4 linked regions of the Notamacropus eugenii genome follow. The protein of the gene in region 2 interacts with the protein of the main gene of each other region in a pairwise test. Links are inferred from orthologs where the notes say so. Each region holds a gene or a part of one and is shown on either strand. Other genes may lie near its edges.

What was found.
Region 1: the proteins of FAM161A (region 2) and TRIM54 interact in binary tests that used the Homo sapiens proteins (3 or more experiments, as listed by UniProt). The two-hybrid records come from large-scale screens. The link is inferred for Notamacropus eugenii from reciprocal best matches to the Homo sapiens genes FAM161A and TRIM54.
Region 3: the proteins of FAM161A (region 2) and SSX2IP interact in binary tests that used the Homo sapiens proteins (3 or more experiments, as listed by UniProt). The two-hybrid records come from large-scale screens. The link is inferred for Notamacropus eugenii from reciprocal best matches to the Homo sapiens genes FAM161A and SSX2IP.
Region 4: the proteins of FAM161A (region 2) and KIFC3 interact in binary tests that used the Homo sapiens proteins (3 or more experiments, as listed by UniProt). The link is inferred for Notamacropus eugenii from reciprocal best matches to the Homo sapiens genes FAM161A and KIFC3.

Annotation. Positions count from the first base shown.
Region 1 is NC_092872.1:528,547,394-528,555,284, reverse strand, and holds the start of TRIM54 (tripartite motif-containing protein 54), read right to left. Parts: upstream 3,013-7,891; 5' UTR 2,614-3,012; coding exon 2,446-2,613; intron 1-2,445. Other genes in the region: DNAJC5G (dnaJ homolog subfamily C member 5G), read right to left, coding at 5,894-5,979, 6,844-7,009, 7,176-7,389, 7,696-7,808. UniProt on the Homo sapiens protein: May bind and stabilize microtubules during myotubes formation.
Region 2 is NC_092872.1:642,870,927-642,878,016, forward strand, and holds the start of FAM161A (protein FAM161A), read left to right. Parts: upstream 1-4,077; 5' UTR 4,078-4,155; coding exon 4,156-4,302; intron 4,303-7,090. UniProt on the Homo sapiens protein: Involved in ciliogenesis.
Region 3 is NC_092873.1:493,726,403-493,734,016, forward strand, and holds the start of SSX2IP (afadin- and alpha-actinin-binding protein), read right to left. Parts: upstream 3,011-7,614; 5' UTR 2,081-3,010; intron 1,937-2,080; exon of another isoform or gene 1,884-1,936; intron 1-1,883. UniProt on the Homo sapiens protein: Belongs to an adhesion system, which plays a role in the organization of homotypic, interneuronal and heterotypic cell-cell adherens junctions (AJs).
Region 4 is NC_092872.1:716,304,004-716,311,665, reverse strand, and holds the start of KIFC3 (kinesin-like protein KIFC3), read right to left. Parts: upstream 3,006-7,662; 5' UTR 2,867-3,005; intron 2,271-2,866; exon of another isoform or gene 2,118-2,270; intron 1-2,117. Other genes in the region: uncharacterized protein, read left to right, coding at 3,084-3,414, 3,818-3,928, 5,716-5,787. UniProt on the Homo sapiens protein: Minus-end microtubule-dependent motor protein. Involved in apically targeted transport. Required for zonula adherens maintenance.

The sequences.
Region 1 (7,891 bases), about 110 Mb from region 2:
AGTAGGAAGAAGTATAGACAAGTTCACTCTCTCTCACTGTACCTGAAAATAGATCTGAATCTTGATCTTTAAATTAAAAAAAAAGTTTTTTTCAGCCCAGGTTATCAATGCAGGGAGGCAGACAAAAAGATCTAGAGATACTGCTTGTGGGGGCCTATCCTGGATAAAGCATTCCAGTGCAAAGAGAGACTGTACACCAGAGCAAGAAGAAATTCTAAATCCAGTAAATGGACCTCCAAGTGTATAGGGTACAAGAATAGCTGTCAAATGGCAACTTTTTTGCTCACTACATAGTTTCAGGTCACAGATCTAAGGTTGACTGTAGAGGGGACCTGCACTAGGAGTAGTATTCCAGGGTGAGGAGTGGTTGTGGACTTGAGACTATATACTGAGCAAGTAGCAGCTCTGTGGCTCTGACCTCAGGAGAAGAGAAGGATCTCTGTTCCAGTCTCCAGTCCCATCTGAAGCCTGCAGAGGAATCACCAAAGGAGTTTGCAGTTCTGTCCCTCTGTACCAGAAGAATTTTCCAGTTGGCTAATAGTAATTGAATTCAACAGTAGAATACTGAAATTAAAACTGGGGCAAGCTCACAAGTGAGTTGCTCAGATCCAAATCTAGGTCAGGAAATTGCAGAGCTCAGACTAGGAAGGAAGAGAACAGATTTGCCTTAGAGCAAATGATTTTGGGACCACAAAAAGCTTGCAGATCCCTAGCTTCTACTGAGCTGGAAGATCTACTTTGAGATCCTGAAATAACACAAAACTCAATACCTTCAAGAATGCAATAGTAAGAATCTAGAGGATTCAAGGTCAGCTCAAGCATTTTTCTCCAGAAGAGTGCAGGATCTAACCCTAACATAAAGTCTAAAGTCAGGAAGCAGGCTGGAAGAATGAGGAGACATAAAAAGATGTAGCAACCACCATTATGAAGAAGCAGAGAGCTTGGAAACAAAGTATTCCAGAAAAAAAGAGGATATGATCCACTTGCCAAGTAGACGTACCAAGAATAATTTACTCAATGAAACTTAGTATAATCCTGCAGGGGGGTGGGGGGAAAGGGACATTTAATGAGAGAAGACTTCCAAGCATTCCTGATGAAAAGACAAGAGCTGTATAGAAATTTGAAGTACAAATAAATACATGAGTCAAGAGAAATACAAAAAGGTAAACATGAACAAGCAATCATAAGGGATAAGGATAACCTGTTTACATTATAATATGAGAAAATGATGTAAACGTATCTTCAGTTCCCTATCATTATCAGTGGTCTGAGATGGCATCTAATTAGACAGAGCGCTTGGGAGTAGTTCTGTTATGGCTTATCTTAAAAGAACAAAAAGGGGGTGGTTAATAAAAGGAACGGAAAGGAGAGAAAGGATGGGGAAAATCTCACATCATCAGGGTACCCAAGTAGACATCTATACAAACAAGGAGGAAGGGGTGGAAGAAGCTGGTGATACTTGACCCTTTTTTCTGAATTGATCAAAGGACAGAAAATGCATACACACAGTTGAGTACAGAAATGTATTTCACTCAACAGGGAAACAAGAAGGAAAGGAAAGATTGGGAGGGGGAGAATAAAAGGGAGGGTAAATTAATAGAGAGAGTAATCTTAAGTAGAACAAACATTAGCTAAGGATGTACAGAAATATTGATAGCAGATCATTTTGCAGTGGCAAAGGATTGAAAAGTGAGGGAGTGTCCACCAATTGAGAAATGACTAAACAAGTTATGATGTATGAATGTGATGAAGTTGGTGCTATAAGAAATGATGAAGAGGATGATTTCAGAAAACCCTGGGGAAAATTGTATAAACTGTATGTAGATGCAAAGTGAAGCGAGCAGAACCAGAACAACTGGTTCAATAACAAAAAGACTGTAAAGACAAACAACTTTGAAAGACTTAGGAGCCCTGATAAATACAATGATCAATCATGATTCTAGAAGATTCTTAAATGAAACATGCACTTATTCAGAGTGCAGATTTAGACTTTTTTTTTTTGGACAGAGTCAATATGGAAATCTGTTTGGCTTCACAATATGTTTTTATTAAAGGACTACTTTGAGGGACTGGTCATTCAACCAATTTTAAATCTACTTAACCATACTTAACACCTAACCCACAAATCTGGTATTTATCTTGTCTGGTATTTTGATTGTTTGTGCATGGCACTCTACTAAGCACCATACAAAACAAGTAAAACCTGTGTTGTCAACATTCTTATGGTTTGTGATCTGCTTAGACACCTTAGGTCCTTTTCTGTTCAGCCACAAGCTGGCCACCCTCATGCATCTTACCTCTTTCCTAAAGCTTCTATCCATCTAAAGCAGTGTACCACGGTAAGTGGCACTTGTGGATCCAATTTTCAAACCCCAACTTTGATAGCATAATCAACGGGTCCCCTCTTCTTTCCCCACCACCCCCAACCCCAGACTCTGAGCCCACCTGGAAGACGTCATTGGCACACTTGCGGCATAGGTTGTGTTGGCAGGGCAGGATCACCACTGGCTTGGAGAACATCTCCAGGCATATCGGGCAGATCAGTTGCTTCTCCAGGTTATCCATGCTGTGTGCATCCCCCAGCAGCGGCTTGAAACCCACTGCGAAGTTCATCCCCTCGGTGGTCGTGCCCACCCCTCTTTGGTCTTTTTTCCAAACCTGGCTTATTCTCTCAGCTATGTGAGTCTGTCTTCAGCTGTTGCCCCCCTTTTTTTGCTACAGCCTGTCTAGATTTTTCTTAAAAGTTGTTTCTGTCTCCTTGTTCTGTCCCTTAATCAATCCACCTCGTGGCCCCTAGGCAGCCAATTGATTTTCTCTCTCTGGAGAGCTGTTTTTTAATCTTTACTTTTCTACTCTGAGTGACCAGGCAGATTAAGAAAATTTTGTCTTGCCCTTACACTTCAGATGGCTCCCCCCTCACTCCTGGGATAGTCTTATCTCCTGCTCCCCAAATGGCCGACTATTGCTCACAATTTAGGCACTGCTGTTTGTTCCTTAATCCTAAAGCAGGAGACTAATTTTAACTTGGGGATAGGGGAGACTAGGGGCATTCAATGACACAATCTCTCACATTCCTATTCCCAATTTAGCTTGTGTAAGGGGAGCCACAGCTGTCACCAAACAAGTGACCCTGAGTCACATAGACTAGGGGCTGGAGGAGGGGCTAGAGCCTTTGTGGGAATAGGGGGCAAACCTGAGCCAGAAAAAGAGTTTGGAATACTTCAGTCTCTCACATACCAATTCTAAAAGGGCTCCCATTGGTTTTTACTCAGTCATACTCCAGTTTGGGCCTTATCCTGGACACAAAGACTATGACCCTACAAATAATCCCAGTGAAGGCATCCAGCCATGGCTCAGCAGCTGGGAAGGCCCAAGAACTGGAGAGTTTTGACAAGGACAATGGGAATTAGATATATCTTGGACCCGCCACAGTAACCCTCGACCTCCTTTCTCTATCCACATCTTATCAGATTCATGGCAAAAGATAGTCCCTCCCCTGTTTTCCCCCAGGACTCTGCCTAAGTCATTCTGGAATTTGATATCCAATGAACTGGTGGTACCTAGATTCAAGGACAAGTTATTTCATCAATGTGGAAGTCATTCTACAGTTACAGATCACAACTCCTCCAGAATTACTGTGACCAAAAAACTGAATCACCTTGTTGTGACCAAGCTCATGATGAATCTCTTGGGCCTTAGCTAGGTTAGTCCTCAGACATATAGAGAATTTATGTCACCAGCCTATACTCAAAGCTTTCTAACTTTGATAGGACCTAGCAGAGCTTGGGTTCTGCTGGCATAGTCATAAAGAATCCAACTTTGCCTCCATTTGACCAGTGAGGCATCAATCAGACATTATTGCCTACACTGATGAAGTCCCAATCAAGGCCTGAAATTTATTTCCTGGAGTGCATTTTTAAGACCGGATAGATTCATGGACCAGGCTCTTCTTCTCTTATGCCTAGTATTTGAAAGGATTTCTCTCAATGTGGAAAAAAATTGCCCTCTTCTATTCATGTGATGGGCTCAGCATTGGCACTATGGGGGAACATATAGTCAAGGAAAATAAATAGAAATAGGCAGTGGAGAAAATATAGTCCCATGAACAGATTGTCAGTTATAGTAAAGCTTCCATATCTGGGGGGAAAGTTAAGAACTGAGGTGAGTATAAAGAAGATTTAGGTACTTGTAACCCATTTTGGGCATAGGGGTCAAAGGTCTTAAGGAAAACAACTTTAACCCACTAAGAAAAGGCATAACCTCGAAGCTCTATAAAACTGCCAAATACCACCAAATTAGTCATTAAAGTTGTCAACCCTGGTAGCAGAACCCTGGTACTCATCTCTACAAACTGTTTCTAGGCTGTCTTCTCTGTCCCCAATCCACTGCACAAAGTTTCTTTATTCATTGATGTATATTCAATCCCAGTGCTTCCTGCTCCAAAACAGTGCTTGATTCTTTCACTTTAAGTTAAGGGGAGGCTATATGGGCTGGCCCTTGGTGGAATGTTTGTGGAAAGCAACTGAAATGGGTCCAATACTTTGGCACAGAAGACATAATAAAGGGAAAGTTTTGTGAGAAGTACTTTTTCCTCCAGGATGCAATTAACACCTCTGTCTTGGGAATAAGAACCTTAGGGAAGAAGACAGACTATGTCCCAAGAACACCATGTGGGTAAGGCTGGGTGAATGCTGGTAGAAAGAAACTAGAGTATTTGGCAAAGCATCGTAACCTTTTCTCCTTCCTTCCTTCTCATTCTTGAGAGCTGAGTCACAGTGGAATAAAGTGGTTCAGATACAAAGGGTACTAGGAGGCAAGGGGAGATGGGGCCCACCCCAGGAAGGTCAGCTTAGGACTCAGCCCAGCCATGGGATTCCAGATCCAAGGGAATGGAGGGAAGCATCAGTTCATGCATAAAGTCCAAGTACAGAATCTACCCTGCAAGGTGGCTCCTGCCCTGAAGGGTGTGGGGTGGAGAAGGAGAATAAACATTTATATAGTGCCTACTATGTTCTAGGCACTGTGCTGAGTGGATGTATATGTATATATACACATACATGCGCACATATATATGTATATATGTGTATATACATACATATACATATATGTATGTATGTATAATCACGACCACCCTGTGAAGTAGGTACTATTATTTCCCCCGTTTTACAGTTGAGGAACTAAGGTAAACAGAGGTTACATAATTTGCCCAGGGTTACATAGCTAGTAAATATCTGAGGTCAAATTTGAATTCGGGTCTTCATGACTCTAACCCAGTGCTCTTTCAGAGGTACCACCAGCTGTCTCTGAGGGAGACATTATCCCAGACAGTTTAGAGACACAGACCCCAGTGGTTACCATTAAGTTACATGGGAACAAGACACAATTCTTTTGGGGAGAAGGCAGCTCTGTCAGCCCAAGATTTCGCAAGGTTGAGATGGCATGAAATACATGGTATTGTTTCCAGCTGTATTCAGATTTGGGGCCAGGTTAGGAAAGTTACATAGGGATGGTGCTTACAGTGTTGGGATTTATAGTATTCTAGCCAGATCTGGTGATACTGTGAAGGTCAGGGAAAGAGTTCTCATAGGGAGAGGGCCAGAGTTTAGCAGTGCTTATAGCATTCATGGTGCTTACAGGAGCAGGGTTAAGATCAGGACTGGGGTTAGAGGTCCCCTTCTTCAGTGTGTACAGTAGACTGTGCAGCAGAAGACACATTCACAGGGTCAGCATCTGGAAACAGAAGAAGCAAGTACCATATTAAGATGAAACCCTTAAAGTAAGTATACAGAAAAAAACCCTTTATTACTTAACTTGTAATCAAGATACAATAAAGTTATATACTTTTTTCACTAATTTTTTGCCTTAGCCCCTTTTCTTCTCTTCTCCTTGAACACTATTGTTTGTCAGTTTCTGCATTTTGTGCCTCTTCATCTTCATCCATTTTTTGGTTCAGATTGGAGAAAGCATATTCAGTTCCATCTATGGAATTTGGAATACAAACATTTCTTTAAATGAGCTACAATTCCGGTCTTAATCTAATACTTAATACCATTACACTGAAGTTATTCCTGAGATCCTGAGATGGCGATGAGGCAGAAATTTAAGATCACTTTTAGATTAAACTGATCAATCAAATCAGTTGACAAACATTTAATTTAAAAAATTAAAAGCTGGTTATCTTTTGAGCAAATATCAAAAAGTATATCTCCTAACCCACCTTCATCTATGACTTCTTTTAGGCTCACCTCCCAACTCAGCAAAGACCCTAGACAGGATAAGTATCATACTCAAACTATCAATAAAGAATATATCCAGGAAGCCCTAGACCATACTGTGCCTCATCTTATTCAGCTATTTATCCAGATCATCTCACCATATGAGTTACTGGCATTCCTTTCCTCCCTCACTTTTCCATATCTAACGCTTAGTAATCAAATCAACAATACCACCCTGCTTTTGGAAAGGGTGTGTCAATCAAGTGTTCTATAGATCAACTCAATGTCCCCTTGACTCCTCGAACCAAAGCTGCCTTACCAGGACACCACTTCTTTGAATGTGTTATCTATTAGAAGTTTCTTGAAGGCAGAGACTATCTCATTATTTGCATTGTCGCTCCAGTGCTTGGAGTAAGCACTTAATAAATGCTTTTTCATTCACTCAAATTATATGCACCTTGAAAAAGCATCAGATTCTATACCCTGATTACCTTTCAATCTGATCCCATCCCAGATCTCATTCTCCTAGCTTTAGGGGACCCCAGGTTCAGAGATCCCTCTCATTTCAGACCTTCCTACCTTTACTCTTGGCCCAGATCTCACCTTGGCCACTTTCCTTTGGCCTCACCTGTCCTTGAAGGTTGTTTCTGCACATCTGTGCCTGCATGTTGTGTTTGTAGATCCCTTCTACACTTAAAATCGTCATATTCTTGTGGTACATTCATCCCACAGCAAAAGCAGCAGCAGCAACAGCAGCAGCAACAAGAGAGAAGTGTACACAAGAGGAGAAGGCACTGGGAGATTGGGGAGAATGACTTCAGTCCAACAGCTTCTCTAGTGTTGTCTATGCTCCCCCACCCCCAAATTCCCTAACGCTGACAGCAATGGGGCAGCATGCTCAGTGTATGCATAGGCATCTCTGTTGCCAAAATACTGGAGGGATTTCAAAGGAATGCATACCTTGAACCACCACTTGGTCACAATGAGGTAGATTTTGGCAGTGTCTGAGCCATACTGGTTAGCCATATATAGGCCCATGGTACCGTACATATTGTAGATCTGACGCTGATCAGGATCAGCGAGTATCGAATGAGCTGCATTGATCTCTTTGAACCGCTCTGCCGCATTGGGGTCTTCTGGATTCTTGTCTGGATGGTACTTCAGTGCCAATTTTCTACCAGCCATTGACCATGAAGGAGGGCACAAAGAGGAGCAACAAGCCCAAATTGAAGAAGGGAAAGTAAGATGAATGGATTACATGGGATAGAGATAGCATGGGAGGAATCTAGATATTTTAAGATTCAGTAACAAGGAAAGCAGGAAAACCTCTTTTCCTTGATCCACACTGACAAGGGGATTTCTGCCTTCCCCTAGTCTCAATGGGAGGGTCAAGTAATTTGAAAACGGTGGATGGCAAGTGGGGCTGATGGTCTAAGGTTTGAGGATACAAGAGGCTTGACAGGAGATCTTAAGTGCAGACCTGTAGGCTTTCCTGATCTCTTCAGGTTTTGCTCTTGGAGGCAGCTCCAGCACTTCATAGAGCGTTGCTCCAGCTTTGGACACCTTATACCTTTCCTTAGGTGCTTCTGCCATTCTCTGGGTCCAGAGAGCAGGGAAGCAGATGTAAGAATTTCACACAGGAGTTGAAGCCATGGGAGAAACAAAACTTGCCTGCA
Region 2 (7,090 bases):
TTGTTGAGTGTGCCATTGAATTCCACTCATTTTTTTCCTCAGCGCTACAAGTGATCTTTTTGCCTCGAATTTAAAGAAAAATTATATAAGTTTAAAGAATGATCAGAGGTGACTATAAATAGATGGGCAGATTGTTTGAGGATTTTGTTTTCCAGTTAGCAAAAAAGTCAAGTCAGTAAGCATTTAAGGGCTTGTTGTGTGCTAGCCACTGTGTTAAGCACTGGGGGTGAATATACAAGCAAAAAGATAGTCCTTACCTTTAAGTCCTTACCTTACATTTGGAATGTAAGAGAACCAGGACAAGGGAGCCAAAAAGTTCTATTGGAAACCTTGAAGGGGGGCTATTTTGGTGAAGGCCAGTGAATGAAGGATGGCTGAGTTCCTTTCTCAAAATGTAGTTTCTAAGAAGAACTCACCCGTGGGAGAGTGGGACTACAGGGCTAGAGGGCAAAAATATTGTTATCCATCTGAATTAGGTACTACATAACCTGTATTCGTATTATTGATTCAGCTATCTCAATTAGTGTGATTTTTCCCCTTGGCTTAAATTGTCTACTTTTGTTGTGTTTTTATGGTTAACAATTATTTAGTATTGATTTTCCAAACGTAAGGTGCTTGTATCTAGCATGAAAAGCTCATAGAAAATAAATCTCTACTATCCCAGGCATGCCATGCTATTTTAGGAGGGGACCCCACAATTTTAAGTACTTGTCTTGAGTACACAGTTAGCTAAAGTTACAATGCTTATGTCTCAAATGCTTTCTGGAATGTACTCTGTATGTGAGAATGTAGAAAAGTTTTTGAGTAAGTAAAATTCTTAAAAGGTAAGAATGTACAAGGCAAATAAAAAATGTGATTTCTCTGATATAAAGCCTTTATTAAATCTTTACTAGATTAAATCATTATTTTGTTTATTCTTTTAGTTGTTTAGGAGTATAAAATGGTTACCCTTGCAGTAATTTGTCATCTTGTATTAAGCCACCTATAACATAACATTTAGTCAAATTGGATGGTGAAATTAAACCTTTCATTATCCTACACTTTACATTCACATAGTTCATGTAATCAGTATAAATCATTTGTAGTGTTTGTGTGGAAGAGAAAAGACCCTGAAACATCAAAAACTTGTTTTTTTAGAACTTATTTCAAGCTGCAAGTATATTTTAACATAAATGGGAATATTTAAAGGAGTAAGTAACCTTTCATATTTACCAGTTATACTTTGGGATAAGAGAAAGGCTAGAGCTCTGATCCTACCAAGTAGCTGTGTGGCACACATGAGCAAAAACATCAACAGTGTGATTGATGAAGTTCACAATTTGTTACTTTTTTTACCTCCATTTTTTTCTTTTCATTGTTCTACAATCACTACGATAAAATCCAGATTTTTTTTTCACTCCCTCCTCCCCACCTCCCTGAGACAGCATACAATCCTACATAGGTTCTACCCATACATTCCTATCAAACACATCCTCACCATAGCCATGTTGCATAGAAGAACCAAAATGAATGGGAGAAATCACAAAACAAACCAAAACATAATACAAAAGAAAATGATCTGCATGCTGCGGTTGAATTCCGTAGTTCTTTCTCTGGATGTGGAAGGCATCGCGCCTCAAAAGACCATTGGTCTCCATTTTCTTTTGAAGCTTTTGGTGTTCCTAAGGATGCTGGATTATATGAAATTACCTTTGCAAAACATCCCACAGTACTTCAACTTACCTGATACATTGAGTATTTTAAAAAACCCAAAGCTCTGTTGATAAGACGGTCTTCTACCAAAATATGATTGCCAAACTGCTAAGTAAATCTTGGCTTGAGGCACTGACTTCAAGCTTATGCACTTCTATAGTACTAAGCCTCATTTGTCCTATTCCCACATTCTCATTAAGGAATGATAGAGCATTTATTAAGTGCTTATACGCAGTGCTAATTGCTTGGGTATACAAATAGAAAAATCTCAGCCTATTAAGAGCTTACATCCTAACGAGTGAGACAATACATGTAAAACCACAAGGGAGCAGTGGCCCAAGAACAGATGTACTGGTCTCCAGCCAGTTGGTAGGGTCTTTGCAGAACTTACAAAAGAAGAGGGTAAAGTGGAGGACATAAAGGGTCCTAGAAACCATTTTAATATGGTTATCAAAGCAGAGTGGAAATCTGGGTATTCTTTGAAAAACATCCATGATACCTTCACATTTATTTGCCTTAATTGGTCAGCAAACATCTGCAGGCCTAGTAACCACACAGACTTGAGACTGTTGCACTTCAAAATTTTGGCAGTTAAACAATTGGATCACACAGAAGTCTGATTTTGAGACTTTTGAAGAACAAAGAATCCCTGAACTACATAGGTTATTTGTTTAAAAAAACTTTGTATTAATCTTAAAACTTGACAAAGGTAACAAAAGAACCAGATGATCAGTACACACTGACCATCTAAGAGCAAAAAAAGAATGAGAATGGACAAAGAATCCTAATTTAGACTAAAATGTTACATTTTATGTATTGAGATTATGGTTACAAAGTAAGTTTAACTAGTTATATACAATTTTTCTTTTAAAAATTTAAACTTGTAAGAGTTATAAAGTTTCCTTTTTCAGATTTCCACCACAGCCTCTTGTCCCTAGAGTTGTTCCTGCATAGTCTTATACATAGGAATGTACCCTGGCCCTCAAATCACTTTCCACAAGTTCTGATCCCTGGCTTCCCACCCATGTATTGCTATCTGGTTATCAGCCAGTGCCTCGTTTTTGGGTGAAAAGCCTAACCCTGGGAAACAGTTTAGAAGATCAGTGCTGGGGATGCTTGTACCACGTGATGTATTATTGACTGATTAGGTTGACCGGCCGTTCCTGGACCTCCAGCATGGCCCAAAGGTCCTAATCAGCAGCCACCTTGCTCTTGCTCTGTTCTCCAGGCGCTCCCTCGGATTCCAACAGCGCCTCTGTCGTAGGAAGGTTGGACTTGCTATTGCCCGGTAATAACAGCAATTTTAAGAGTCAGCAAGCGCTTGGCACTGGCATCTACTGTGTGCCAGTCCCTGTGCTCATCCTTTTCGTTTGGTCTTCAAAGTCGTTAGATGTGTAATTATTACCCTCATTTTACAGATAAGGAAACTGAGGCAAAAGGCCATTAAATGACGGGCAGGGTCACACAGCTAGCGGGCCTCTGAGGCCGAGTCTGAACACGGATCAGAACCGACACAGGCCTACACGTTCCTGAAGAGCCAATATGAGTTCATCGGGGCTGCCAGGCGGGTGGGGCACCAATGGATGAGGGAAGGCGGCGCCGAGGACGACGGGGCCCCGGAGGGCTGGGCTGGCTGCGCCCAACATCCGGGGCCCGGGTTCGGCCCCGCACTGCGGGCAGAAGGCCGCATCTTCCAGCGCTGCGGTAAAGGCCCGGAGGATTTCCTGGCCTTGGCTACCCAGGCTGAGCCCCCACATTGCCGCTAAAGGGATACATTATGCACAAGCCTCGCCGTAAAAGGAGGCCTCCTAAACGAAACCCGCAGTCCCTCTCTCTAAAAGCGGACAAAGTGCGGCACAACCTGGGGCTGCCATTGGCCTTGCCGGGCGAAAGAAGGAGGGACAAAGAGCTGTCGCTCCCCGGTTGGTCCTTTCTTTGGCTCCCGCTGGCCAATCCTCAGGAGCAATACCTTTTCTTTCGCCCGCCCACCCGGCAGCCCTGTCGGTTGAGGCGGCCACCATCTTCCCGCGGGGGCGCGCAGCCTGCCGAATCGAGCGCGCGCGCGTTTTCTTTCCCAAAGGAGACCAATTCGAGGAACGCTGTGTGGCGCCCTCTAATGGGCTATCCGCACGAGTCGTCATGTCCTTAATCCCCCGGCAACTACGCTGAGACCTGGAGGCGGGAGGGGAGGGGAGGGACACTCTTGAGCCAACGGTTAAAAAAAGCGGGGTGGGAGGGGGCAGGCCCCCACGAGCTCGCAGTTGTCCCTAGGGAGCCCTGGTTCCCTGCGCTGGGCTTCGAGGCGAGGCCTTAGGTCCCTCGAGGGCTCCCGTAGCGCGGCGTGCGGCGTCCCGGGTGACAGCGTCCCGGTAACGGCCCCGCCCCCTGCGAGGAGCCGCCCCCTGCCGGCCCAGAGTTCGCTCTGCCCCAACCTGGGCCGGCAAGCGCCGACGTCCGGGAGCCATGGCAGCTCCCCGGCGAGCTCCAGCGCTCGCCTCCTTCGGTTTCCAGGCCCCACTGCAGCCGCGCTCCAGGTCGCCACGCGTCGACTTCTACGAGCGGGAGCGCGCCGGCGGGACCCCGGAGGAAACGGCGGCGGAGGAGGGGGAGGTAGGGGGCCCCGGGTAGGGGCTGGGGCGGAGACCCTGCGCAGACCCCCGGCCCTGACCCTGGCCTTCGGCCGGACCGCGTCATCCTCCTTCCTTCTCCCGAAATGCTTCTCAGTGGGAGGAGGAAGGTGGCCTAAGGATCCCAGCATGCCATCTCCCGACTCCGTGCTTTTGCACTGCCTGTGCCCTCCCCCATGCCTAAACTGCTCTCCCTCTCCTTATCTTCGTCTTCTGGCTTTCTAAAAGTCTCAGCTCAAAGCTCGCCTTGGGCAAGAAGCCTTTCCTCTCTCTGAGATTACCCCTCCCCCCTCCCATTTATTTACGCCAGAGGTATCTTGTACAGATATAGTTGTTAATTCCCCCTTTAGGCTGGGGGCTCTTTGAGGGCAGGAGCTACTTTTGCCTTTATCTGTACCATCGATGTCTGATAAGTGTATATTGCCCCAGCATTGGAATGTGAGTACTTTGAAGGCAGGGACTCCTCTTTTAATCTCCGAGCTTTGCATAGTGCCTGGCATATAGTAAGCGCTTAATAAGTGCTTGTTGACTGACAAGCAGTACCTAACGGCTTTAAAAAACAATTCTTGTATATTTAGATGCAGTGCCTTGATTTTATTTTAGGGAGTACAAATTACTATTTTATTTGACTTCAGTACTTCTCTGATGTATTGGAACAATTGTTTCTGCTGCACCACTTTCATACTTGAGGTTTGATGTGCCCTCATAATTGAAAGCCTGTAGAAAAATAACAACTCTGACCATGCCTCTAGTCTGCTGTCTAATGAGAGTTATGTAAGTTAATGTATTATATGAGGCTTACTGATAGTAGGGTCTTATTTAGCAAAAAAAAAAAAATGCAGAGGAAGACAAGTTGGATATTGTATTGTGGAAAATACCAAGAGTTCAATCTAAAAAACAGATGGAAAAATGAACAAGGAATCATTGAATTAATTAGTGATATGTCATTTTCTTCTTCTCACACTTGTGTGCCTAAGATTTTGTTTTTGGTCAAAAAGATTACAGAATCGTAGATCTAGAATTGGGAAGGGATCTAGAGGTCCACAGATGGATGGATGAAAAAATGCTAAGTGTTAACTGTGAGCCAAGCCCTGTGCTAAGCCCTTCGGAGATGTGCAGAAAAGGCTAGACAGTCTCTGCTCTCAGGGATCTCCTACTCTAATTAGGGGAGATGATGTGATCGTGTTGAAAGTTCAGCTGCAGGGCAGATGGCAAAGACCAAATCCCTAAACGGATTTGAGGTGAGGGGCAGACAACAAGACCCAAGGGTTCCAAGGTTATGTGGTTAGGTCAGATGACAGACAGGATGTAGTAACAGGGTGGGTGGTAAGGCCTGCTGGACGTCTCCTTTCACTGGAAACGGTAGTTGGTGACCTCCATGTCACCCAAACCATTTGAGTAGGCCAGCAGCCTGTGTGCATCTTGGACCAATACATCAGGATGGCAGCAAGGGGATAAGCCCACCCTGGCCACCATGGGTTCTGGGGGGAAGGCAGCATTTGCCCCTTGCTTTCCCCCTCTATTTCAGAACCCATCTAGGAACTCATTTGGCAGAAAAATGTGGAGAGGCCCCCTGTTATTATGTTCCAGATGAAGAAATCGAAATTCATCGAGGTGAAAAGACTTGCCCAAGGTCCCACAGATAGTAATCACTGGAGGCAGGATTTGAACCCAAGTCTTCTCATTACAGAGCTAGGGCCTTTTCTGCTGCACTGTGCTTAGGTTTCAGTATCTTTATGTGTCCAGAACACCTATCTACTGGATGATGAATATACTTCCCTTTATTTCTTTCACATACACTACTGAACAGGTGTCCATCTAAAACTTCCAGCTAAAAGCCATCAGTCTACTTGTATAGATCTCCACTCACAGCTTAGAATGCATTCATGCCATATGTCTGAAGCTTCTCAGCTACCAAAAACCAAAAGTTTAGAAAATTTAAATCTGAAGGCAGTTAATAATAAATAGGTCTCACTTGAAGGTTTGGTCCTTATGACCCTATGAGGTATAGTTATTTCGGTTCAGTTTGCTTAATTTTAATCTAAGTTTTTTAGAATTTGCAATATACAAATTTAACTTAACTGAGTTAAGAGGGCACCACAAGTGGTTTAGGGACACAATGTGGTATAGAAGCAAAAACCCTGGGTAGGGGAGCCAGAAGACCTGAATTCAAATGCCATTTCTACCTCTAAGTAGCTGTGTGACCTTGGGTATTTCTTTTAAACTGTCTAGGCCTCTGTTTCCTCACTTGTATAGTGATGCTGGACTAGATGACCTCTCAGGTTATAGCCCTTCTAAAAACTAAAAGGGTGATATGGGGGCTTGGAGTAGACTGTAGCCAGCCAGTGGGTAGTGTATACCTGGAGAAGAAACACTAAAGAGAGTAGAGGAGTTAGCAGGGTGACAGCTGAATTCAGCAAACATGTTGACTATCACAGGAACATGGAACTAGTACTGAAATGATCCTCTGAGACTAACCCCACCATTTTACAGATGTAGAGAGTGGTCAGAAATCTGTTATTCCTACATGCCTACTATGTGCTAGACACAGTGCTGGGCACTGGGGATACAAAGACAAAACAGTCTGTCCCTAAGGAGCTTAAATACTATAGTAGGATACATATGTACACACTGAAAGAGATATATAATACATAGGAAGTACATACAGATATTTCCAAAAGAAACTTGGTTTGAGGGCAGGGCACTTGGGGCATGAAGGGACAGCCTGTGAATCCCTTTGGCAACTGTATGAAGGATGAGATTGGAGAGGG
Region 3 (7,614 bases), on a different chromosome or scaffold from region 2:
AGCTGGTGAAGAAAACAGCAAACTACTCCAGGATCTTTGCCAAGAAAACCCCAACTGGAGTCATGAAGAGTCAGACGCAACTGAACAAAAGCAAATTATATACTTTAAGTAGTACACGTTGTACTCTAAGTCTAATATGTTTTATAGTACTCTTAGTATGGAATATTACATAGCATTGAATAGCGTAACAATTTTATCACAGAACTCTTAAACATACTATGTTACATATTACAGTGCTTGAGTTTTTATATCATAATTACATATATATTATTACAGTAATTAAATACGTTGTAATATTATGGTGTCCTAAATAGTATTTTATATCATTGCAGTACTAAAAGCACATCACGCTATATAACAAGCTAACCCTAGTACGGTACCATTCCAGTACCCTCTGGTAGCATGCTACAATATTATTACAGCACTGACTATGATATCACATTATATAATATCACGTTGCCCCTTGAAGTAGTCTAATGCCGTATTATCTAACCGCTCTAAGCTGTAGGCCACATTAGGATCAGCGCAGCCCAAGCAGAGTACCGTTAGATAAGCAGGACAGCGTTATACAACACGCCGCGTGCCACAGCATGACTACAGCGCTCCGAGCGCAACGCCACGTTCCCTGACACCTCACTGCCCAGGTGCCCACACTCTATAAAACCGCGCGCCAGGGCAGCCCCGCCGGCCCGGCACTGCACGTGGCCCGGCAGCACCCTCCGGCACCGCTCGGGAGCCCAGCACGCCGTGCGCTCGCAGCAGCACCCTAGTGCGGCCCTGCGCCACGCGGGCCCTTCCCGAGCTTTCTGTGCTCCGAGCGCGGCCGCCTGGCAGCACGCACCCGGCTGCTGCAGCACGAGCCTCTGGCACCAGGCCTCGTTCCACACTTCTCCATCTGCTCGCGGCACCCAGCACCGCACCACATCGCACGGCCGTGCCCGGGCCCGGCGCGCTGGGCTCGGCAGCCGCAGCACGCCAGGGCCCGGCTCCGAGCGGTGCACCTAGCCGAGCCGCGCAGCACAGCACAGCACCTCTCCGAGCCCGGGTCCTCGTTACACAGCCCCCACGCCCCTGCCCCCGGCCCCCCGGGCCCCCCGACCGCGGCCAGCCCGGGGCAATGCCCTCAGCCCGCGGCCGGCCCCCCCCCGAGCCCCGGGCCCCCGCTCTGAGCCCTACTCGCTCGCCCGACACCGCTCCGAAAACACACAGCAGAAGGACGACTCCCGGCAGTCCACTATCGCATCTCAGCCTTCCAGAGCCGAGCCGCCTCCTCGCGGCCCCCCCGGGCCCCGGCCCCGCGCTGCCCACGACAGGGGGCCTCCCCGGAGGGAGCCGGAGGGGCTGGCCCAGGGCTGGGGTCCCCCGGGCCGCCCCCAGCCCCAGGGGGGCTTTCCCACCGCCGAGCCTCGTCCAGGCCACCAGGCAAGCATGGGGCTGCCAGCCTCGAGCGGAGCGGCTCCGACAGCAGCATCGCCGCGACTGAGGGTCCTCCCAGGGAGACCCCTCCCCACCGCGTCAAGGGGATCCTCCCACTCGTCCCTCCTTTGTCCCTCCAGCAGGGAGGGAGCGAGGCGATGGCCCTGCCCACGCCGCCTCCCCCCACGTCGATGCTCGGCCCTTCCTCCCTCCGGTGTCTGGCACCTGTCCGTCGCGTGGGTCGTGCCCCCCCCGCCCCCGCCCTCCCTTCCCCCCTCATCTGGAGCGCTCTCCTCTAGCGCCCCTCACCCCTGCAGGGCGGGGGGGATGGGCTTGGGGGAGGGGGGCAGGAGCCGATCTGGGCCTCGGGGCCCACCCCACCCCCCACCCCGGGCCAGCTGCCCCAACGGCGCCTCCCAGAGGGGGAGGGGCAGAGATCCAGGTGCCAGGGCGGCGGCCACACTCACCTCCCTGCCCTGCCCCCACCTCGCTGCATACCCAGCCGCAGAGAAGGCACTTCTTCCCACCCCCCCACCCCCACCCCAGCCCCCCACCTCCAACCCCAACCCCCTCCCCCAACCAATGGTTTCCTTTTCACCCAGGCTCTTGGGCCCTTGTTGGGCACGTCACAGTGACCCCACCCTAAGGGGGGGGGGACGCTCACCAGTCATGGCCCCCCCCATGGGCGGGGGGGGGTGCGTGGGGGAGGGGGCTCCTTGCCTTACGACCACCAGACTCCCCTCTGCAGCTACAATCCCCAACTGCCAGGCCCGAGAATGAGGCGCCTCAGGCTGAGACTCCCTCCTGCAAGCCCCGCCTCCTCTACTGTCTCCCCAGCTTAGGCTCCGCCCCCTTCTGCGCTTCCTCCCCTCCCTAGGGCCGCAGGTTTGAGCTGTTCCCACCCCTCCCCCTCGCCTTCCACCACCTAGGCTCCTTCCCATTGGTTCCCTCGGTTGCTAGGAGATAAATAACGGGGCCTACTTGACCTGATTGGGCCTCCCCATTGGCTCCACCCCCTTCCCCTTGCACTTGAAAAGTCTTATTCCCTACACTCCAGGCTTGGGATGGGAGCGCAGCTGCAGCGACGCACCTGTTAGAGCCTGCGAATCCCTGGGAGCGCTTGTCCAGGCTCTTCCTGCTCTCTGCTCCACTCACACTCCAAGTCCTTGCTCGGGATAAGCAAGAAAAGGCATTTCTTGGCTTTGTTTTCTAAAGAGGCGAAGCGAACACGCGCCAACAACTCTAGACGAGAAGGTTTTTTTCCTCTTCTGGAGCCCAACCATGAGCTTTGGCAAAGGGAGACCGACAGGATGACAATACTTGACTTCCAGAATTAGGTCAGGCTCCCAGGACGCCTGGATGCAGACTCCAGCCCCAAAGGAAGAAGTCAGCACTCCAAAAATAGACCAGAAAGGCTAGAGAAAGAAAGGAAGAGCGACTCCTGCCCAGAAAAAAATTGGACAAGATGAGAGACGTGCCTCTGAGAGTGGTAGAAGCAGAAGAGATGCCAAAGTTACGCCTGCACAGTGAAAAAGTGTCGACCCTACCCATTTCGGTGGCTTGGCATGCCAGAAATATGAAAAACAAGGATTCGATGCGCAAATCTTCTTTTCGATTAGCTTCTGTGTGCCCCTATATCTGCTCTGAAGGGTGAAAAAACAAGTCGAAACACTCCTAAAGCAGAGGACAGAGGAATTCGGCAGGACAGGGATGGGAGCTTTAAAATAAAATCCGAGATGCCTTGTAAAATGCAGAGGATGGTGAATTTTATTGAAGGAAAGGAAGAGGAGGCATGAAAATGCAGGCTTCACATTTTCGTAGGATTTTTGGCAGTTTGCTGTAACTAAAATAAGAAATCGGGACAAGGACAAAGGAGTTCGTCAGCTTGAAAAACTGTTTCGGGGCTTTTTTCCAAATCCGAGACTTCCCGTAAAGGTATAATAGAGTAAGAAGAAGAAAATGGAGCTGTGAAAAGTGCACATTCCATCCCCAAAAGATCTTCCAGTTGGCCCGACTTGCGACTTTGGGGAATGGACGATGTTGGGAGCGGGCAGTGGTAGCATCGAAATATGGCATCTAACCGGTGGCACGTGGGAATAGGGTTCTGAGTGGAAAATGGAGTAATTCTCTTACCTTCCAACCCCCTCCTTCTGATTTGGGGATGAAAAAGTGCAAAAAGAAAGGAAAAAGAAGAGAAACTTGGGAGGTGTACTCCAAAGAGTGATGCTGAAAAGAAAACTGTCCAAAGAACCACCAAAATAGCCATCCCGGATCAAGATCTCGATAAGCCTCATCTACCTGTCTGGATAAGTCACAAGTCCATAAGCACCTACTATGTGCCCAGCACTTAAGATACAAAGAAAGGCAAAACCATGACTACTCTCCTTTTAAAATAACCTCAAATACACTTAGTACTTTCTTTGGGCTATTTTCCTTTCTTAAATAGTAACACGTTAGGTGTTACTGTAGCCAAACATGGGCAAACATAAAAAGTCCAATAGGTGAATTTAACCATAGTTTCCCGTTGGTAATGATGAACCATTAAGGGTAGGGCAAGGAGATGTAAAGAAGCTAAGGTCAGCATATTTGGGGGGTTGCCTTCAGAACACATTGTTTGTGAAGTGATTCTTCTAGGCGACATTGGATAATGAGCTGGTCTTAAAACCAAGTCTTTGACCCATATTGTGTGACTCTGGGTAAGTAATTTAACCTCTCCACACTCAAGGCAACTCTCTTAGGACATAAATTGTCAAGAAAGTACCCATTGGTATTACTACGGGGTGCTTCCTCTTCTGGGAGTAGTTAAACGAATTTGAAATCACAGGTCTAGGCCTTTTCCCTATTGTTAAGTGATGGAGAAGCAGCCTCTGTCATTGGACAAATTTGTTAGGAAGTTTTTCCTATATTAAGACAAAATCTGTCTCTGCAATCTGCCTATTCCTCCACTTTGCCCCAGCTCCGGACCAAAGAGAACACTTCTAATCCATTTTGCACATAACCACTCTTCAAATCCTTGAAGACAGATTTCCTGTCACTCCAAATTCTCTTCTCCAGACTTAGTTCCTTCAACTGATCTTCCTTTGGCATAGTTTCTAACCTTCTTACCATAATAGACAATCTCCATCAAGCAACTGTCCATGTTCCACCAGAGCTTATCGAAATATTCCAACTGATCAAAACAGAAAGTAGCATGATCAGTCTCCCCCATATTCTTTACGCTCTGCTTCTCTAAATTCTACATAAGATTACATTACCTTTTTTTTTTTATCATCCATATCCTATCATTTGTTGACTCATATTGAGGTTACTGTACACCAATACAGAATTTTTTCACTCATACTATTGACTATTCATCCTTCCTCTGTAATGGTGGTTTTAGAAATGTGATATTTCTGCAGTTTATTTTTTAAACTTGCCCAAGTGAATGGTTTTTAAAAATATTTTTACTTCTATCTTCCTTATTTTACTTACTGAGCTTTTTCTTATTAGATCTTGCCCATCCTTCCAGCTTGTCAATATTAAATCTTGATGTGTCACCCACCCCTCTCCAGCTTAAACCTGCTTAGTGGACATAGGAAACTCTCTTATTCCATCAGATTGTTCATAGTATATCATTTACATTTCTCTTATCTATAAAGATATCATGATAATTTATCAACTGCCTGCTAAGGCTTAAGTATATCGTGTCTGTGGCATTTCCCTTATCCACTGAATCAATCAGAAAAACGAACTGAATTTAGTTTAGCACAAGTTAATCTTGATAAACCTGTGCCTACTCTTAGGGAACATGATTTTTCTTTCTAAATTGTTATAAATTCTCTCTTTATTAATATATTCTGGAATTTTCCAGAAATCAAAGTAAGGCTCACCAATCAATCACTTGATGAATTATCCTATTTCTTTTTTGGAAAACTGGGACCTTAATCCCTCTCCAATCCTGTACTACTTCTCTCATTTTCCACAATTTTCTAAAAAATTGGGGGGTGATTACAACTCAGTGGGCAATGACACCTGTTAGTTCTCCTAGTATTCAGAAATGTAGTTTATCTGCACTTAGAGTTGAGCTTATTCGAGGCAAGGAGGCACTTTCTTACCATTTCCTTAATTATCATGGATTTCAGTTCCTCATTAATCATTTTTCTTCTATCTGTGTCCAACTGAAGATTGTTCTTCCTAGTAAAAATAAAATAGAAAAAATGTGTTGAGTAGTTCTGTCTTATCTCCATCATCTGTTCTTTTTGTTTTCCTTAGCATACTTTGAAAGCTTTTGCTTGTTCTGAGCTTTAGTACACCTAGCACTATTCTTGTAGGACCATGCTACTGTTTTGCATTCATCCTCAGTAAACTTCTCTTGCTTTCATCTTCTTTCATCCCTTTTTTGGAGTTCAAGTTGGTCCAGAAGTTTTCTGTGCATCCACATCACTCTTTTAAGACTTTTCTCCCTTTTATTCTTCATCAGAATCACTAGCGTTTGTGTCATCAAATTTTTTCCTTAACAGCATCCCATCACTTTTGATCCAACTTCCCCTATAAAATTTGAAGGAATGGGATCCTATCTATACAATCTGTGAAATCTATTCTTCCCAAGTTCAGGGTTTGCCCTGCATTCCTTCCCTTACTTATCACAAACTCTAAGATATACTGATCACTTCTTTCCAAGGTTCCTATCACTTCAACTTTGGCAGCCAACTCCTCTTTATTGGGCAGAATCAGTTCACAAATAACTGGGTACTCTGATTTTAATGACTCATACCAGTTATCTAGACAGAAATAGCCATGGTGTAGAGGAAGGCAAGGCCATCAAAATACTGCCTTCTTACAGAGGCTAGCCTGAGCAACTAGCTAGCTGATCTGCGCTATCTCTCTCTCTCTCTCTCTCTCTCTCTCTCTCTCTCTCTCTCTCTCTCTCTCTCTCTCTCTCTCTTGTCTCTTTCTGTCCATTTTCAATGTCAACATATCTTATTTCCCTTACTAAATCATAAAGAACTTGTATAGGACTACCTACCTATGTCTTATTCAGATATATATTCTTCACAGTGGCTTGCACACAGTAACTCCTCAGTAAATTTTTATTGAATAAATAAATGAATTGATGAATGAAGCCATTGTCAATTATTTAGGATTCCCCAGCAATTATTTGTCACCACAGCTTCTGCTCCTGAGCATACACAAATATAAGTAATAATGAATATACTATAATTGTGTTCTACTCTAAATTACGTCATCTAATGATTCTATCAACAACCATTCCAGGATACAGTGTGAGGAACAGGTAAATGGAGGAGAGCTATTCCCATAGAAAGTTCTAGCTCTTTTTGCTCTGATTCAGTGCTTACCAAACAACCTTCTGATATATAATCACAGACTGGAATAGGCTGGGGATCTGGACTGAGTCATCACCATTTAAGAGTATCTGTGCATGATATTTTGCCTTCAGGTTTAGGCCACCTCTGCAGGAAAAACAGCTTGGCAAATAATCACGAAGAGAACTGAACGTGGGCTATTTCATTTGTCTGTTTAAACATGCTCAGCATCTTTAGTGGAAACCGTTCTGTGAGCCAGTAGAAGCAAAGAGAAAGTTTTTATTAAGCTAAAATGATAGTATGAGTGAACAAAGTGGTGAAATATGAAGCAAGAAAGAACCTGAAATGCCCCGAATATGATTTGAATTATAATACATAGGAGATCATATCTTAATACTATCTAAATTACATTTTTTCCTTTTCTCATTTACCACAGACATTAAACACACACACACACACACACACACACATTAATAGACCGAAGTTTCCAATGAGTAATAGTGTTCTAAGAAAATTTCTAATCTTTTCCTGTGTTTTCCTACTTAATACAGAAATACTTTGTTTTATGTTATAGATTCATTGTTTTTTAAAAAGTATGTATTGAATTTTTATAAATCAAATCATATAATAAAATTCTGAAGGCAAAAAACAAAATTATTCCGAAAACTAGAAAAAAAGTAAAGGTGAAATAAATTACCTGAGTTATTTGCGAATGAATACAGAAGGATAATGCTGACCTGCCCTAAAGTCCAGAAAGAATTCAGGTTAGCAATGATTGCACAAGACAGAAAAAGGGGTTGTTTTTAACATTTTTGTCTTTGTTTTTGCATTAGCTATGTTGGAATTAAGGAAACGCCCAAAGGAGGGATAGTCTTATTGCCCAGGGGATAGTACA
Region 4 (7,662 bases), about 73 Mb from region 2:
GTTTTGAGCCAAGAGAACAAGACCGTCCCCTACCCAACAACCTTCCTAGACCTTTTTAGCTTAATGATGTCCTGGACCAACTTTCAGCCTAAGACAAGTACCGGGCCAGAAACCTAACCAACATGGGTGTGAATGTGCCCCTAAACATAGGCGGATCCCAAATCTGGTTGGAGGAGAAGGGACTAGAGAGATTCCTATCAGAGGCAGCCCAAGGCAGCAATCTGTATTCAGCATGCGGATGGGGCGCTGTGGAGGTCAGGGTAGGCTGGCCAAGCCATAGAGCCAACCCACGGCCTTGTTTCCAATTAGCCTCAGAGAGCCACTAGCCTGGCCTATTTCAAGGACACAATAAAAGACCAGCTACTGACGAGCAGGTTGCAAGAGTATGTACTCCTTGAGCTTAAGGTACTGATAAGCTGGGCTGTGGGGGAAGGGTTGGGGGAGGGTAGAGAATGTACTTTGGTCTAATGCTCCTGTCTTAGGAAGCCGAGATCTGAAATACGGACTTCAATATACTGACTCTGTCCATCTGGTCAAGGAAAAGGTCTAGACGAGTGTTAGAAAAATACTATTGACAAACAATTCTACAAGTTAAATACCTCATGTATGGATGTATGACTCTGGGCGAGTCACTTTTTGTGCCTGTTTCCTCACCTGCAAAATGTATTACAATAACAGCACCTACCTCACAGGGTTGTGGTAAGAATCAAACAACATATCACGTATAGCACTTTGCAAAACCTTAACATGCTATATTAATGCCAGTTTATATTATTATTAGGATATTATTATTCAACGTGTTAGACACCACAAAGACGGACAAACTATGTAACCTGCTTCTGAGGTTACAATCTAATGAGAAGAAAATCTGCAGAAATGAAAAGCTGTGATAAAACTACAGTATATTAAGTACTTTGACCTGGCTAGTCCACGTTTGTGGAGTTGGGTTCAGTTCTGGGTGCCAGACTTTGGTAAGGCCATTGGTAATCAGGAAGGCATTCTGAGAGGACCTTGAGTATATATACCATATAAGGATCAGCTGAAGGAACTGGGAGTGTTTAGGCTAGAGAAGGGGAAGACTCAGTGGCAAAGCAATGGCTCTTTTTCAAGTATCTGAAGGCCAGCTATGAAAAGAAGGATTCAGCTTGGTCTACTTGGCCCCAGAGGGCAAAAATGGGGGCACAGTGTGTGGAAAGAGGCAGATTTAGGCTTCATATAAGGACAAAACTTCCTAGTTAGGACTATCCAAGAATGGATGGGCTGGGTTGGGTGGGAATAGGTTCTCCCCGAATAGAAATCTTTGGACCTTAAAGGTCGCGGAAGACCTTTTGCTGCAGGAAGGATTCTCAGGTACATGGTGGACTCAGTGGACTGCCTCTATCTCTAAACTCCTTGGATTCTGTGTAGTGTGAAGGAGAGGCCAGAAAAAGATCCCCTTCACCTGGTTAGGGCCAGGTAAGGAAGGTTTCCTGGAAGAGGTGACACGGGGCAGGTCCTTGAAGAAAGAAATGCAATTCCAAAGATGGGCAAGAGAGGAGGAAGAGTCCAGATATGGGAGATGGGGAAAGCAAAGGAACAGAAATGGGAGAAAACAAAATTTATAAAGAGACCTAGAGAAATTCAACTGGACTGGAACACAGTACATGAATAAAGATCAAACAACATTCATTTAAGATAATGCTGGAAGGGTAGATGGGAGCCAGATTATGGAGGCTTTGAATGCCAAGGTAAGGAATTTATGCTCTGATAGCCACTGAAGTTTTTTGAGTAGAGAAACTGCTATGGGCAAAGGCACATATCAGGTGGGCAGTGGAATTAGTGGGACAGTTTGGAGAAGATTAGAAGAATGGAAACCAGGAGATTATTATAATAGTTTAGACAGAAGAAATAAGGGCCTAAACTGGGGTGGTTTCGGTGGGAGTGGAAAGGAGGGGATGGAGATATATGGTGGAGAAAATGCAGTCTTACAAAAGACAGACGGGACTAGGCAGAAAGGAGACCCCCGATCGCAAGGCATCTGCCTGCATAAATTCCAAACGGACAGATCCCCTCCTTTGAAAACAGTCTCCCAGAAGACTCTTCACCTGGCCCTCTTGCATTTAAACCTTAATAACTAGCCTCCGTCCTGGTAGCTGCCCAAGAAAATCGAAACACGTCGTCTGCCTGGGACCCCTCTTCAACGCGTCCCCGGGATGGACAGGGAGCTGAGAATGCGGAGCCCCCAGCTCAGCACCAGTATTTCTCCAAGTCCATCAGAGCCTCATTTGGAGGTGTGCACCCCCCACCCCCCAGAGGCAGGCTGCCTCACTCTTCCACTCAGATCACCCAGGAGGGTCTCAGTTATCGATCCCCACCTCTCCCCACCCCCAAGGTACACAGAGACCAGGCTAGTCCGCCCGACTCAATCCAGTAAGGGAATTTAAACCTTGGAATCTCGGTAGAGAAGGCTTTAAAGCAGAAATGAGCCCCGCCCCTCTCTGCCCAACTGCAGCCCTAAGCTTGCAGCCAGGAAAATCCAGGGGAGACTTATCTCGGGGTTGTTTTCAAAGCACATCCCTTCCCCCGCCCCCCGAAGCCCCTCCAGTCTCAGGCCGCTGCAGCTACCTCCCTCCAGCACCCGGGTGTGCCGGACCGGGATCCCCTAAGGGGGATCTCTGGCAGCCAGAGCGGGGTGTCCTGGGGATGCAAAACTGGGCAAGGGAAAGGGATCCCCAGGCGTAGCCCCTCCGGCGTGAGAAGAGAGAGCTGAGCGGGAGCCGAGCTGGAGACTGGAAAAGCCTGAAGGTGGGCTTCCAGATGGAGCTGGGGGGCCCACGTCCCACTCCCCTCCCCCCCAAAGGCGGAGGCATCAGGGCCAGTGACTCACCTGGTCCCCGCTGCCCAGCCCGGGGTCCCTCCGGGGTGGCAGCTCCCCTGCCCCCTGGGGAGGAGCTACAGGGCACTGCCCGCTCTGGCATCCCCGTGGCCGCCCGGCCGCCCGGTACGAAGCTGGAATGTCACACTGTCGTCTCTGACCTCCCCCCCCACCCCACCCCCTTACACTTTCCACAGGAAATGATTAACTCGAACGGCTGCTGGTTCCCATGGTAACCGGCTCTCAACACTTGGAGACATTCTTCGGTGCTGGAGGCGGGCAAGCAGCCAGAGGCTGGGGAGAAGAGCTAGACAGGGGAGCTGGGGGGCTCCTTGGGTCGTCCAGGAGCCCTCCCACCAGGTACGGGGCCGGAGTAGCGGGCACACAAGTGCCTGCATGCGCGCTCACGCAGGCACATGAGTGCACACCCATGCACACTCGTATGGACGCGTGCACACACGCACAGAGCAGGGCTGATTCTCAGAACGTCCCCTTCTCCTCGGTGCCCCCACCCACCCCCCCAACCCCCGAACCAAACTCGTGCCAAGGCGTCAGAGCAGGTAAGGAAGAAAGACACAAGCCCCTTTGACCTCTAAAGGGAAAAGGGGGAGGACTGACCCCCAACCACTCCTGGACCAGCCGAGGGGTCCCAAGAGCAGCTATTCCCCTTATCAAGCCCCCAGACTAAATCTGCGGCAGAAGGAAGGGATTAGGAGGACCTTAAACCCAGGAGACAAGAATGACAGCTGACCTTAGGAGCCCCAACTCAGGGAGCCATTGTTCTTTGTCTCCTAAACAGTGCCGGCATTTTATTCTGGAGAGAGCAGCAATATTTCCCCTCTGGGGTGTGGAAGGAGGAGAAGAAAGAGACTTCACATGTAGCCTGAATGATGATTCTACTGGAGATAGAGTGGGGGGGGGGGGGGGGAGGGATGGGCCTAGTGTCCCCTCTTTGCTTGCCAGGTATAGAAGACAGAATAAAAGACCTAGAAGATGCTGAGAGTCACCCACTTCAAGGCTGGTTTTGTCCGCTGCTGCTGCTGCTGCTGCTGCTGCTGCTGCTGCTGCTGCTTGGTAGGAGAGAGAATTGTCTGGATTTGGGCCCTGGGCTGAAAGTCAAGAATCTTGATCAAAGCAAAGTCCTGCCTAGACTGCAAATTATTTTAGCCATCAGAGCCTCTGTTTTCTCAAATGGAACATAATTTGTCTATTTAGAAAACATAGTAAATATACTTGAAGAGGAGGTACCAAATGTCCAGCATTTGCAGGTTCATGAGCATTCGCTCTTCTGACAGATTACACCTCCTCTGAAACTTAGTAAGTGAGCTTTGAGAGTTTCAAAGACCAAAAAATGTTTCAGCCTACCTCCAACTCAGAGATGGGCTCTCCAGATTTAGCTAGGTTGCTCTCAGATACAAGAGACAGACAGTCTCCAATTTTTTAAAAGAATTATTTATCTATTTTCACATACAGCTAATATCTTTCTTTCCCACTGTCCCCCTCACCCCGCAACTGGACAGTTAAAAAGGAAAAATAAAACCTATCATAAATATACACAATCTGCAAAAACAAATCCTCATGTTAACCAAGTCCTAAAAGATATGGCTCATTGTATATTTTAAATGGGGCACTCTGTGGCCCAATGGATAGAGTGCCTGGCCTGAAGTCAGGGAGACTCCTCTAAGTTCAAATCTGACCTCAGATACTTCCTAGCTATGCGACCCTGGGCAAGCCATTTCACTCTGTTTGTCTTGGTTTCCTCATCTATAAAATGAGAAGGAGGAGAAAATGGCAAACCATCCTAGTATCTTTGCCAAGAAAACCCCCAGTGGGATCACAAAGAGTCAGACACAACTGAACAGCAACACATTTTAAATCCAACCCCTCTCTGGCAGGAGGTAAGTGGCCCACAGTATCTTCAGTCCTTTGGGCTCCCATTCAAAGTCTTTTTCAAATGGTAGCATCTGCTCAGGCATCTGTAATCTTTGGGAACTCCTGGTCACCTCCACATCACAGTAAAACATTTGAGCCAGTCTAGTAGACTGGGAGTGGACTCAAAACACTTATTGCTGAGGATCCTCCACAAAAGTTCTCCCACCAGGTCTGATCAGGACCCACAGATGACTCTGACTTCTCACAGACAATGACAAGGAACTATCCACCAACTCCTGCAAGTCCACTAAAGGTAGAAATGGTACAAGTACAGGCCTAACAATAGACTGCATGATTCTCATCTGAGGACCCAGATAGCTAAATTCTCTGAGGTTGCCACTGAGTCATGGATTTTTAAGCCACAATGACTGAAATATTGTAAGGAATCTCATACATTTTCTTTTTAAAAAATTTTTTTTCCTTTGTAATCCTATGTATTTTATTTTAAACATTTAAAAACTTACTCTGAAGAGTCCATAGGCTACACTAGACTGCCAAAGGGACCCACCTCTCTCTCCCTTCCTCCCTCTCTTTGTTTCCTCATTCTCTCTCTCTCTCTTGTTTTCTCTCTCTCTCTCTCTCTCTCTCTCTCTCTCTCTCTCTCTCTCTCTCTCTCTCTTTCTCTCTCTCTCTCTCTCACACACACACACACACACACACACACACACAAACAGACACACAAATTTAAGAACTCTGGTCCAGAAGGTTCAAATTAGGTGAGTTTTTTGTTCTAGAAGGATCCCCTGATAGGGAATTCCTCTGCCAATGCAGGTCTTCACCGTCTTAGCAGTTGAGAGTTAGCCAGACCTCTGAGGAGCCAAGAGAATTGTCCTGAGTCCCAAAGTCGGTATATCTTCCTGTGTCTGAGGCCATTTCCATCCATTGCTCCATGACACCCCTCCTTTTTGTTTTGTATCTCTTTTTATTAGGTGCCATGCTTTCTGAGAGTAAAGCTTTATGGAAGGAGCCCTTGGCTGGTGTGATTGAAAGAACTGGACCTGGTACTTTGGGGAGTTATCTTTAAAGTCCAGCACTAAAGACCTAGCTGTATTTGGGAGGTTTGAAATTTATTCGGATAGCATTTCTACTATTATTAGTATCAAAGAGTTTTTAAGAAGCTAGGTAGAAAGGAAAAGAAAGACAAGGAAGGGGGAGGGAAAAGCATTTTCTGAATCCAAATTAAGATGGAATCTGGTTGGAAATGCTGAAAAGAGATATTTCACACGTTTTACTTTTTGTCTGTATTTTTCTGGAGGTGAGCTTCACTAGAAAGTATAACCTAATGGCCATCACTACACCAGGCATCTCACTAATGGACATGTTGGGGATGGGGGTGGAACTTGTCCTCTTCCTTATAATTACCTTGGAAGAACATGGCAAATCCCAGGGCACATGTTGCTAGAGCCAAGAATTCTATTTGGGGCAGTTCAGAAGACCTGGTTCACAGGATGCCAATGCTCACTTTTCCTCATTGCCACCCCTCCCATTCATAGACATGATGCCCTCATGTAGTTAATAGATTAGTTCATCCCTAAGTGGGAGAGGTCTGAAGTTTGAGTGGGTCATCACACAGGCAGCTGAGGGGCACAGCAGATAGAAGACCGGACCTGGAGTCAGGAAGACCAGAATATATAAATATATATTTGCAAAATGGAGAATTGAGGTCATGTTCCAAATAATTTATGTCCAAAAACTTAACCACTTTCACTTGAAATATATCAAGTTCATTGCCTCATGTACCCCCTCTTCGTGAGTAAACACTTCTGTTTGCTGTAAAACATACAGTTCATTTGCCCACTGAGCTCTCTGTTTCAACGGGAAATCTCTACTTTTCCCAGCTCTGTGGCCCTTCTATCTGGAGGCTCCAAAGATGTGCCTTGACAGTGGAGTCTTAGGAACAGGAGCTAACTGGCAGATATAATATTGAAGGTCAACCGACCTTGGTTTTTATCAGTTCCCAGAGAGAAAAATGAAAGGAATGCCAAAGCGTGCATTCATGTAGATAGGTGCTTTAAGCAATGAGTAATAAAAAGATTTAACAAAGATAATCTGGGGCGGAGAATACAGGCTAGAAAAGTAAGTAACTCAACCAGTCTATTTTCCTTTCTTGGCCATTCGGAATCATACTCCTCCCAAGGAAAATCTGAGCAGTAATCTCGGTGCTAACCCTCAGCATTTCCGTGCCCTTCTTTCCTTTCCCCAGAATGATTTGTAATGCAGTGTTCATACCAATGACACCCATTATTTAATGAATGTTAGTTCCTCATTCTTTCTTTCTTTCGCATTCATTCCTCTCCATCTGCTGCTCAAATCTAGCTGAAGATATTTTTAACCAATCTGCTTTTAGTGACAATTTACAGTTTTGCCTTGGATTAAAACTCTTATCTCCCCTCAAGGCCCAACGCAAGGGAGACTACCCAGAGTCTTCCATGGACTCTGCCCAGGTCCCTTCAGTCAAAGAGATTTCCCCTTCCAGAATTTCTCAGAGAATTTTATATGTTTCTCTTTGGTTTGCATTTATCACACACAGCACAGTGCCAAGTATATAATAGATACCTGGTTGATTGACTGATTATCATATTCTGACCTGTCATGTGTTATAATACAGTATGTATTCGTACTGTATCCACATTAAATCACCTTTCCTTGGCCATCTTTGTACCACCAGAACCCCACCCTAGTATTTCCCAACACAGAAAGTATATACAGGATATGTACAGTCAGAGACACTTAATTAATTAATAATTAGGATGTTTCCTTATGGTCTGTTCTTCAAGATTTATGATCGTAATGGTATTTTGTATCATTGACAAATTATTCCATTCAGAAAGTTGATCAGTCAACAAGCATCTATTAAGCTCACCTTTCCCAGTCTT